2 linked regions of the Drosophila melanogaster genome follow. The protein of the gene in region 1 purifies or fractionates together with the protein of each later gene. This does not show direct contact. Each region holds a gene or a part of one and is shown on either strand. Other genes may lie near its edges.

What was found. Proteins that work in one complex are often made in the same cells at the same time.
Region 2: the proteins of Spindly (region 1) and FipoQ purify together in Drosophila melanogaster (affinity purification with mass spectrometry, with the first as the bait; one large-scale study listed by BioGRID). This does not show direct contact.

The regions. Positions count from the first base shown.
Region 1 is NT_033779.5:3,526,815-3,533,601, reverse strand, and holds Spindly (spindly), read left to right. Parts: upstream 1-3,284; 5' UTR 3,285-3,315; coding exon 3,316-3,834; intron 3,835-3,898; coding exon 3,899-4,064; intron 4,065-4,130; coding exon 4,131-4,346; intron 4,347-4,404; coding exon 4,405-4,546; intron 4,547-4,686; coding exon 4,687-4,785; intron 4,786-4,845; coding exon 4,846-6,049; 3' UTR 6,050-6,215; downstream 6,216-6,787. Other genes in the region: IFT57 (intraflagellar transport 57), read right to left, coding at 1,076-1,233, 1,586-2,348, 2,403-2,699; CG8852 (uncharacterized protein), read right to left, coding at 6,402-6,787.
Region 2 is NT_033777.3:29,493,061-29,498,506, reverse strand, and holds the start of FipoQ (F-box involved in polyQ pathogenesis), read right to left. Parts: upstream 1,967-5,446; 5' UTR 1,830-1,966; coding exon 1,734-1,829; intron 1,508-1,733; coding exon 1,183-1,507; intron 1,121-1,182; coding exon 502-1,120; intron 444-501; coding exon 276-443; intron 208-275; coding exon 4-207; intron 1-3. Other genes in the region: diedel, read right to left, coding at 4,281-4,628.

The DNA.
Region 1 (6,787 bases):
ACACATTTGGCCAAAACACATGCAACGGCAGGAACTCCGTTTTGGCTTATCAGTGACCGGGCCAAAAAGTGGGCAAACAAGGAATCGCGGGACGAGGGATGTGGGATATGGTATTTCAGATGTGCAAAGTGGGATGCAGGGGACAACACCTCTTTACAGCGTTTCGAGGGTTTTCCAGGTTCAAATTGGTTTGCTTAGGCTCTGCTTGCGGTTGCACTGCAAAAAAATGTGTTGATTTAGAATTGGTTTCATATTTCTAGAGCAATGCTTATTGTAGAAGTGTCGCTTTTAGTTCACAGGCTGATTAGCCAAGCGCAACCATTAAAATAACACTTTTATGATTTAGGGTAATAGAACTTCTTGCACTGCTTTCTCGCAGTGCACGGCGATGTAAGAGGTAGTTGTGTGGTAGTTGCGGCGTCGTCGGCGGCTTCTTTGGTCAAGTACGTGCGCCACGGACCTCCGTACCGTTATCTCCGATCGATCGGCGAAGGATAAGGATCGCACGCGCTTGTTGCTGCAACTACACCCTCGTTGTGAGTTTGACTGTGTGTGTGAGTGTGTGTGTTTGTCCAAGGAGCAGATAACAAGGAGGTGATAATTGACCGCCCAATTGGCTTGGCAACCAATTACGAAACTTATCAGCGGCACCGGCAATCGAATCAAACGATCGTCAAAGCGGGCGGGGTCAACGCCGGTGGTCCAATGAAGTCCCCTGATGCATTCTTGCACTCAGAAAAAAATCACAAACTAAAATTTGGAAAGGCCACAACAGCAACAGCTCTTTGTTTAGTCTCGAACAAGAATAATGTGCACACGGAGAAAATGAAGTTATCAAGCGTAAAACCCCGTTGTAGTAAAAACAATCGCATAAATTCAAACATCTTTAATAAAAATAAACGCTCCTATCAGCGTATTTTTTTCCAGTGCAGCTATCTCCTGCAGATCGAGTGCAAACGAGAGCACACCCATTCGCGAGGTGTGAAAAGATCGGGCTGGCTGGTTGGTAGGGATATATACAGATATATTGTACCATTTAGCATGCTAAGTAGTGCTTATCAGCGGGGTATATGTTTTATGGGTTGTTTGCCAGGTCGGTGGTTTGGTTCTGCTGCAACTGCCGCACCACAATGTCCTGGTCGTGGGCATGCACCAGCAGAGCCACCTCCAGATTCAGTTGCGCAGTGTCATCCTTCAGTTTGGCGATCGCTTTCCTGATTTGCTGCACCGAACCTGATAAAAAAGAAATGGAAGAGGCATTTTGGGATTGGGATTAGCACCGCATAGCACTGTGGGTGGCTTCCAAAGGGATCGGGATCTGTGATTTTCTGTTGACCAGAATCAGGGATCTACGATGGCAAATAGACGACGTCCTATCATTGCAGGGCAAATAGAGTTTGAAAGGTGTCGGTGTTAAAGGTACCATATTTGCTATCTATGGGAATGTCAGTGCTCTTTATAATTTTGAAAAATTCCATTGTAATGCTGATATATGTATTCATGAGAATATTTTTTGTTACTTTTTGAAAAGATGGTATATACACTTCATTCGTAACCCAATATCTCTTAACTTTCCCATACTCACTCCCATCCGACATGGCCTGTCCGCGTCGCTCCATTTCCTCCTTTTTCAGCTCCTGCTCCATCATGACCTCGTTGAGCTCTGCGGTCTGCTTCTCCATGTCCTCCTGCAACTGATTCTGGGCATATTGGATGGTGGACAGTTCAATGGATAGCTCCTTGAACTGCTGAATCAGTGGCTTGAGCTCATTGTTCAAATGTTTTTCGCGGCTTTCGATCTTTTCCAAGTCGAAAGTGAACTCGCTGTGCAGTTTTTTTAGTTGAGCCTCGGCGGTATCGGAGTTTTCCAATATGTTTGTTTTTAAGGTCTCCATCTGGCTGATGTGGGTCCTCCAGTCCCGGGCGTCTGCTTTGACGAACACTTTCAGTTGGGGCAGGACTCTTTCCAGTTCCAGATGCCACTCCTGATGATCGCTCATGCGAGCATCTAATTCAGGATTTCGTTCATCCAGGTTGACATCTCCATTGGATTTCTTTTGCGGACGATTCAACCAGTTCAGCTGCCGGAAATTGTGCGCCTCCAACTCCATGTCACTATCATCACTTAAGGCGGCTGCATTCTGCTCATCCTCCAGTTTCTCCAATATGATCTCTGCATTGTCCTCCAGATAATCGCCCAGGAACTCCTCCTCCTGGGCGATGTGCAGCTTTTGGTAGCCCACTTGGGCCACTTTGCAGGCTTGTGTGGAGAGAACTTCCAGGACCGACAGGCAGATGGGTCCAGCTCCACGAATCAGCTTATTGGGCTGGAAATCCACTGGGACATCCTACAATGAAAATATTGTAGTATTGTAGTAATACAACTTAGTCCTAGTACTCACAATCTCCCCAAGCAATTTAATGATATTGGCGGCCACAGTGTTTGGATCATCGTACTCCTGTGGCCGCTCCATATCCTTTCCGAGTTTCTTGCATAGCCACCAGCATATTAAAGTAAACATATAGAATTGCTCTCCGGGATTTGTGGCCTTTACGAAATAGAAACGCGACAGCGGTTTTAGTTTGAATTCCTTGAGCAAATGTTTTTCGTAGTTGAGTAACTTCAATTTTTCCAGTAAGTCATCGGATTGAAAGTTTTGTAGCTGCTGGGATTTTTCCTGTTCATCATCTTGCTGCATTTTACAATTTTTATTTGTTGTGTTCCTAAATAAACTAGTGTTAAGTGTGAGCCAGCTGTTTGGAAACAAAATTGTCGCCAAGGTAACGATATGTGTGTAAACACACCGAGCGCATGCGTCCTAGCTTATACCCTTTTATTTCTATTTTATTATACTATTTTTTTTAGTATCAGCTCATTTTTCATTCATTTAATTACTAGAATAAAGAAAAATTTTAATATTGCCTAATATTTAAAAATGCTTTGAATTACCGGAAGAGGGCGGCAACGAGTTGAATGTTAGCATGCGGTTAACATAGCTTGCCGTATAGAAGTTTGCTGTAAAAAGTTGCAAAGGCAAAAGTAATATTCTACTTAGAATAAAAGAAAGATTGTTTAGCTTAAAACTTAAAACTGAGTGAAATTTTAGTCAAAATTTTTAAAAATGCATTTCTCTTCCGGAAGATGGCGCTAACCGTTAATGTAACAACACTGTTAGTCTGCGCTTACCAGCACAAGTCTCCCTGTTATTTGTAATCGATCAACAATGCGAGCAATCCATACCGATTACTTTAGAGTCAAATATCGATTGACGGTTGAAAAATATAAAAAATTGGCGTCTTTTTTATGCAAACCAAATGTACAAAAACTTGGACCTTGACACCCTTAGCGTGGATGACATCGTGGAGGAGTACAAGCTGCTGCACGATCGCCACCAGCAGCTGAAAGACCAGAGCGAAAAGGATGCGCAAAGGATTTATGAGCTAAAAAGGAATCTGGACACTGCCCTCGCCGCCGAATCGTATTTGACCCAGGAACTGGAGCATCTGAGTAGCCAGCCTGTGGCCATCGCGTCTGGAGGGAATGGCCAGGAACTGGAGGAGCTGCGTCGAAAGTTCAAGACCCTGAAAGAGGAACAGGATGTCCTACAGCAAGACTACGACGCCAAGGTGGAGGAGACCAGATCACTGAAAGATAAGCTGACTGCCGCTGAAAAGAATCTGGCGGAAAAGTCCGCCTCCAGGTCAAATCAGCTTCACGATGACTTTTTTGCCCGTTTGAATGCCCTAGAACTCGAAAACTGTGAGCTGTTGCAAAAGCTGGCCGAGTATGAGGACTTGCGCATCGCAAACACTCTGGCGGTGGCTGAAAAAGAGGTAGAAATATTCCTCATAAGTATCTAAACAACTACATCATTTAAATACTATCCTGAATTCCCAGAAAACCATCGAATGTCTGCAAGATCGGGTGAGCTGCATGGAACAGAATCTGAACTGCAAGCGGGATGAACTGGAGGAAAAGCTGCAATTGCTGGAGAGTTGCCAGGAGCAACTGGTGGATGCCAATGCCAAGATAGCACTGCTTACCTCCGCCCCTGAAAACAATGGTAGTTAAGATTAACATGGCACCCTAAAATTTGTTTTAAAAAGGGCTTTATGCACTATTTTTATAGACCGCAAGGGCAACTCTCTGTTCGCTGAGGTGGACGACCAAAGGCAAGCGATGAAGCAGATCCTGGCGGCCCAGAAAAAAAGCTATCTGGATATGAAGAAGATCTTCACGGACAGCCAATTTGAGATCAGACGTCTCAAGCGGGAAAACGTGGCCATGCACACGGAGCTGCAGGCCTGTAGCACAATCTTTTGCAGTGCGGACAAGACCTATCAAAGTGAGTAATCCACATTCATTGGTCTGTAAAGAAGATTAATATAGGAGTATTCCCCCAGATAAGCTGAATGAGCGCATCCGGCAACTGATGACTGCCAACGACAGCCTAGAGCGGCAGCTTAATCTCTCCCAGGAGCGGCTGCGCCAGCTGGCCAGCGAGAAGTCGGTCACCTGGCTGGACTCGATGCTGGATTTCTGCAAGTATGAGTTGCCCCTCTTGGTCGACACCGCGCTGGCATCGCTCGGCAATAAGTTGCTGAGCCTCACCAGCTACGGCCTGTTCTTGCTGACCAGTTAGGTAGCCTCCACACCCCTAATTCCTAAAAATCATCCCAATTTAGACGCGAAACGGACGAGCTGAAGGCGCAGCTGCATAGCATGCGAATCCAGAAGGCCGGACTGGAGGAACGGATGCGATGCGTTCAGCAGGAAATGGCACGGTATATACACTATATTCCTTTTCAAAGCTATATTTATTTTATAATTATTTATATTTTCAGCTGGCGCTTTGAGTCCCTAAAATCCCGCTGTGTGCTCATTGATCGCGAAAATCTGCTGGCGGAGCATAAGATCGTTTTCAAGCCCATGCAGGCCATGGAGTTTAACATCAAGGAGGCGGAACTTAAAACTGCATTGCCCCGCATTGTCAGTGTAGCGGCACAATCTCCATCATCATCAGCTCAACTACATACACATCCAGAAACATCTTTGAAATCGGCTGCGGAAACCACAAGCAAGTCTTTTCCAACTGCAACGGAAATTATTGTTCTTGATGCGCCCTTAAAGCCTGCCATTAAAGAAGAGGTAGTGGAGCCACTTAGCCAAGAATTAAAACCAGCACTAAAAGACACATCCGTAAAAGTCGAACAGGAACTAGAGGTATCCGAAAGCAAGGCTTGTATAAAAAGAACACCTATTAAGACAATTATGGGTATGAAAATAAAACGAGAAATCGACTTAAACTTGGAACAGCAGGACGCGGTTGATATCAAAAAGGAGTTGGAAGCTCCAGAATTAATTCCAAAACCGCAGCTGAAAGGCACTCCAGTCAAAGCCAAAAACGATGGAGTAACACCTCAAATGAATATACAAGAAGATGAAAACGAAGAAACGGGTCTAAATTCCGTGGAAACCCCAGCCAAACCTTTGATGAAGGGTACCCCAGTTAAGCAGCGACTGGGAGGGATAAAGGTGAAGTCCAACGAAGAACTGCTGGGAGCAAGACTGCCTGGTACAGTAACGCCTGCTAAACCGCAGCGCAAAGGAACTCCTGTGAAGCTCATAAAGCTGGAAACGGAAACTGAAGACAGCAGCGATGAGGCGGCCAAGGAATCTCCCATCAAGCAAGATGGGACATTGAGTGTGGAAATTCTGGACAGTCCAACGCCACAAAAACCGCAGCGCAAAGGAACTCCTGTGAGGATTCCCGTCATCAAAGACTCGACCAACGAAAATATCCGCTCTATCCTCAGCAAAAAACGGCAAGTCTTCGCCGAAGATTCGCAAAAGGCTGTGAAGTTTAGCGCGAACGATCCCATTGTTCACAATTTGAGTCCGCTTGAGAGATGTCCAAATGGGGAAACCACCAAGGAAAATGACAAGCCAAAGGAAAGTGAAGACAACCAGGACGTAAAACCCACAATTAAGAAGCCAAACATCATACGGCGTATTGTTGTGAGCTCTCGTAAACCAATTATGAAATGATTGCATGAATTCCAATGGAAATTTTAAATCGAATTTAGACTTATAAAAACTTAACAAATAATAACAACGCAGGGCACAGCAAATCAGGGTGCAGAGACTTTATTCTTTACAAATACACTACGAACTAAAAAAAAACTTAGCAATAAAAACAAATCAACTCTTTATTAATACAGTTGAGCTTACTTAAACTACCCTAGGTGTAACCAGCAGTACCTTTGCTGTTGTGCGACCTTAAACTGTAAAAGAATAATCCATCCAGATTCGTGTTCTCTATTTACGTATTCAAAGACAACTGAAATTTACAAAGCCTAGAAATTATTAAGGAATTAAGTATATCAAAGATGGATTCTACCTAGGATATATCTCTCAGTTCATCCAGTTTTGGCATCTCCTCCACAAACGACAGATGATCGTAGATGGGAGCCGTAGGGCCGGTAGTCACGGCCAGCACCTCATCCGCATCCCCATTCTCATCCGCCTGCTCCTTGATCTCTGCGTACAGTTGATAGGGCAGCTCAGCTGGTAAGGACTCGTAGGTGACATGATGGGTCCTCGAGCAGGTGGATTCTCTGTGACCAGTGCAATTGCAAATCGAGGTACCTCCACTTACAGGAGTCTCGTATCCATCTGGCAATTCGGTTTCCACATCCACTGGGCAACTGGAACCGCCATTAGCAATGGGATAGCGCACTATGTCCACATGATCCACAAACCTCGGCCCACTGGATGATTTTTCGC
Region 2 (5,446 bases), on another chromosome or scaffold:
CACCTGAGCACCATGCAGCGCAGCTTGAGGCACTTGACGCGCAGAATATCGATGGCCTTCTGGCTCTTGTCGGAGAAGCGCAGGTTGTCCGGATCCCAGCGCAGCTCCAGCCGCTCCAAGTTGCCGCAATTCGAGGCGATGGTGTCCATCAGCTGGTCCACGTGGATGTTGACGCCCAGCTTCTCTGCGGTGCCCATAACAATGATCCTGCAGGTTAAGAAAGTTCAGCTCATAATAAAATGTCTTTTCATTCGATGACCAATAGTGTCGCCTACTTGCAGTTGCCCAGCAGGGGCAGGATGCTCATCCACAGCTGGTCGGTGATGTGGGGCATGCCCGAGAGACAGCAGGCGCTCAGCTGATGACCCTGGCGCTGTATAAACTTAAGCAGGCCCTCATCCGAGATGTTGTCCGAGGAGTCCAAGTCCAGGGAAATGAGCGACCTAAATCATACTGCTATCGGAGTGCTTACACAGACGGGTAGGTACTGTCTCCGCTCACCTGGTGGTGCCCGATTCCATCCACTGCTTGAGAACGCTGTCGTTGAAGCCATTGATCTGGCCGGCTGAGAGGAACTTGAGGCTGGGGATCCTGCTCAGCATGTCCACGAGGCATTCGGTCGAAAGATCGGTGGCCGTGATGTCCAGCTCCTGCAGGGCGCACTTGTCCCACTCGGCCTGCATGACGAACTCCGACTTCAGGCTGGTGCCGTTCATGAGCAGGCAGGTGAGGCGCTTGGAACGCTGGATCAGGGTCTTCAGGGTGGAGCCGGTCACTTTGTTGCAGAAGTTGACGGCCAGGCACTCCAGCTGGATGCAGTTCGAGCTGAAGGCGTCGATGTGCGAGTCATCGATGAAGTTGATGCCGTACAGGTTGATCACACGCAAATTGGGCGTGGCCGACTTGAGCTTGTGCACGTTGATCACCTCGTAGATCTCCTCCTCCTCCTCCTCGCACTTCTCGTACGTGCCAATTAGATGCAGCACCTCCAGGCCGTTGATGAAGTTGTAGATTTTGCGCATGAAGCCCTCCATGAAGATCACCTCCGAGAGGCAGACGCACATGTAGCGCAGCTTGGTGGGAAAGGCCTGCATCTCGCTGAAGTCGTGCAGCTGCATGGCTAAGAAGTACACAGGACACTCTAGAGTTTAAGACGGACGATCGGCGACGTGGCGCACCCACCTGTGGAGAAGTCCAGCAGCATGTGGGTCAAATTGGGGCACTTGGCGGACAGTTCGTGGAGCACCGTGTGCGTGATCAGCTCGATGGGCAGCTCGATGTAGCGCAGAGTCGGTCCGAATCTCACCGAGATCAGCTGCAGCAGCATCTCCAGCGAGCCCACGTGCAGTCCGGAGACCTCCGGTCGCAGGCTCACGTTCTTCCACAGCCGCGTGTCGTATGCAATCTGCCGCCATCGTCGGCAAATCCTGGCCAGGCGGCAGATCTCGCGGTGCGACAGATACGAGAAGATGTGCAGCAGCACCTTGTCCGGCAGCTTCTCAATGGTCTGTGGATGAGAGTCACGATATATAGTGGTATATCCTATGGTACTACATAAGTGATTCAAATATGATCTCTAAATGTAAATCTAAACGACAGTTCGGAATAGTTGAGTGCGAATGTGGTGCTATATATTCTACGGGTGAGTGAATCTATAGATACTCTCTCTTACGCCACAGACTGGCTCTCCCAAATGAGTGGGATCCCTAAGTAATATCCCAAACCCATCGTACCGTATCGGCGAAGGGACTGCGAACTGTGCCGTCGGAGAGGTAGACCTGCGATGCCTCCACGGCCAGCTGACCCCAGATATCGGTGGATATATCCATGGCTGGGTGTGGATGATTCGGAACCACTTGCTTATATAAAAAAAAAATATAGCTACACACGGGGCAAACTACGCGTGCTCTGCCTGCGAGGCGAGAATATCCGTCGTATCGAGCTACTTTCGCGCTACTGCGAGCCGCATTCCCATCGACGTGCCATCGGAATCTCCAAAGATCCGCCAGGCAGTAGTAGACTCAAGAGAACCCTAGGCTTATTTATAGACCAGCGCCAGTAACGAGAGCACTGCCACATCGCATCACTCAATCACTCTACTTTCGGATGCATCAGCTGTGCTGTTCACGGGCGACGCACCACACCACTCACGCACTCTTTAAGAACAAATAGAACCACTAGAACCACCAGCACCACTCACCCAGCGGTGCACGTGGAGAAACATGCTGATAAAATCCCTGCCAAATCTCTTCCTTTCCTCGTCAGATTCAAAATCATTAGTAAGCTGTATAAAAGTATCTCGAGATATTTTACTATATTTTACTTATATCTAAAAGTATCTGATATTGCTGATAGTATCTACCTTTTGTAGGTTCGGATAACCTATGGATTCATCTTAAGATATTTCTACTTCTTAGATACTTTAAGATGCATCTGAAAATGCTTCTGTTTCCCGAGGAATAACCTTCTGAGCTTTATCCTTTAGCGCCTACTTTAAGATACATTTCCGCACAGCCTGCTTTTGCATATATATATTTAATAGTAATAATAGATTTCGAACCCCTTTTACTTTCTCAGTGCACAATGTTTGTTGCCAAGAATTCTATATATACGCCATCGTTCGTCTGTCTGGCTTTGTTTTGTTTACTACATCTAATATGTATATCTATCTGCACATGTGTATGTTCTATGTACAGGGTACTCACCAGTCGGGTCTTCACCACGCCAGAGTCGTGGAGTCCGATGGCCTGCGAGGAGGTTTGCGCTGCCAAAACATTCCAATTATCCATGGTGGGCACTGCGCTCTAGTTCGCGATTTGGATTGGGATCAGCCGGAAAGCTGAAGGTGTTCGCTGTCTCAGCTGTACAATATGTATGTATGTATGGTCTTGCTGGATCCGTCCGCTTCTATCTATGTATCTATGTATCTATGTATCTAACTAAGGGAGGAGATGTGCCGGCTATACTCGCATGAGATACATTCATTCATGAGCTAAACTATTTCTGCAAGGCTTTCCCAATTAGTCACACTGAATTCTGAGCATTTCAAACTAATTGTTATTTAGAAATTATTAGTTTACAAGCAGCTAAGCTAATTAAATTACCACATTTTGAAGCAAATTAATAGGAAATCTATATTCAGTAGTCTATTAGTTCTGGAAAGTATAAGTATATTAAGTAAGCAAGCGAAAGCAGTTAGTTAAAACTTCGTTTTTACTATGTTATTTACCCATTTGATTAGTTGATCAAACGAAATTGTTAGACACTTTCCGCAAATAAACGAGTGCGAGAAGGAAAGCTTTTAATTAATTAATTAATTGATGCCCGCAGGCGATTAAAATAGCAAATTCACAATTATGCAAACTCAGTGAACACACACACATTGTTCACTTGCGACTTTTGATTTTCGACGAGGATGGGCGTCACATCTGAATTTGTTTCATCCTTCGCCCGGTTTATTAATAGTTTTCCCTCAGCTGGTGGATCTGGTGGAAAAAACTGTTGGGGTTGCAAGTGCAACGTGGAAAGTGCAGTTTCGTAACTTTAGCACTTTCGTTGCAAGTTGAAAAAAAAAACTAGGGAAATTCACTTGGCAAATTCACTTATTCTGTTGCAAATTACTGGCAAATCGGATTGATAAATTCCGGCGAAAATCGACGGATTCTGCGGCTTTACATGGGCGAATGCTCCGCGTTCTCGACGGCTCCACAACTCTGAGAAAACTGAGAAAATCAGGCGTCCGCGGAAAATGGTTTATGCCAAAATTCACTCGGCTAGTTGATCGTACTACATGCGGAGTACATGGCTACATGGGCATCTGGGGATCTGTGGATCTGTGGATATGGAGGGGTTATTCGGGGCGATCTCTGCGAGTGCAGGCGTCATTTGCTTTTCCCATGGCGAGCGGCCAACAGAGGGGCGGTTGCCCAGGGGGCGTGGTCGATCGTTGGGAAACAGATATTACAAATGCTAGAAACTACAAAAAATCACTTCTTATGATTTGAGCACTGGATTTTATTCAAAAATTAGCCCATATCATCTCAGATTTTGATGATAGTTGTTTTTTTTTTAGTATAATAGTTTTAGTTAATAGCGTAATTAATGGAATTCAAGATTAAAAATAAGAATAGTTCCTAGTAATCAGATTGAACTGTTTACATTTGATTAGAAAGTGGGAACCTTATCAATTTCATGCATATATAAAATAAAATACACATAATTAATTAGTAATTTCTGGATGCAATTAAAGCTTCTCTTTATTGTTTATGTGATGCAAGGGGTTAAAATGGCAGCCTGGTGACTTTGATGATCTGGATTCCGTACTGCTGGTTCCTCCTCACAAATTCCTGTGACCAATCGCCGCTCAGACAGCCGCCGTCGCAGTTGCAGCCGAAGATGTTGCACGATCCCTGGCCGCAGTAGGCGCCCAACTGGGCAACACCATCGGCGCAGATCGTCACTTCGCAGCCGTTGGGATAGTTTTCGATTGCACGCACAGCCTCGCAGTCGCCTCTGTCCATCTTGAATTCCACCAGCTCCCGGGAGGTGCAGCATTCCGACCGAGCCACATGGACAAAGGCCAGGGCGCAGATCCCGACGAGAAGCAGGCTGACTACTGGGGATGCCATGATTGGATTTACTGGGAGAACTAATGCTTTTCACCCCGGCAAACAGCGATTTTATACGCTCACAGTGGGTGCAGGGAATTCGCTTAGTTGGCAAATGCGCTCCAAGTTATTAGGAAAATTGATTAGGCCCAGTTCTCGGGAAATTTACTTCTAACATAACTCAAACACATAGTCATGAAATACTGTCTAGTTACTGCGCTTTAGTTTAAATAAAACTTGTAATAATCAAAAATAAAATTTTAAACACAGATCACTTGTAACGGAAATCCCATTTGAATTTTGGTGATCGGCGTTGCCAGACGGCTAAAAGCGTTAGCACTAGCGGCCCGTTCTGATCAGAACGCAGTGGCGAAACGACGGTCGTTCAGTCGTTTCTTCGCCGCTCAACCGTTCGGTCGCTTCTTCGGTCGCCCGCCTATCGATATCGATAAACGTAGGTGTGCCTGCAGTGCGCCTGTGTGCGTGTATGTGTCAGCAGTGCAGTTTTCCTGTTTATCCCTGAATTCTGTGAGAAATGTGATATAGAAACAGCATTAGCGAACAACTAAACGCTTTGCGCAACCGAAATTCAGCTGCTTAAAGGGACATCGAAAGTGGTAGCTGCAAACATTATAGTTTGTTTATATCTGGTACAGTGCGCGTTGCAACCTGTTCTATGTGTGTGTGTTTGGGCAGGTGCGACAGTGTGTGTGTGTGTTAAGGGACGCCCAAAGAGTTGTTGTTGTTGCAAAGTTATCGATTTTAAATTTCAAGAGATGCTCACTATCGTCAAAAAAAGGAGTTTTTTAAACTAATCAGATAAGCTAACAATTGTTAGT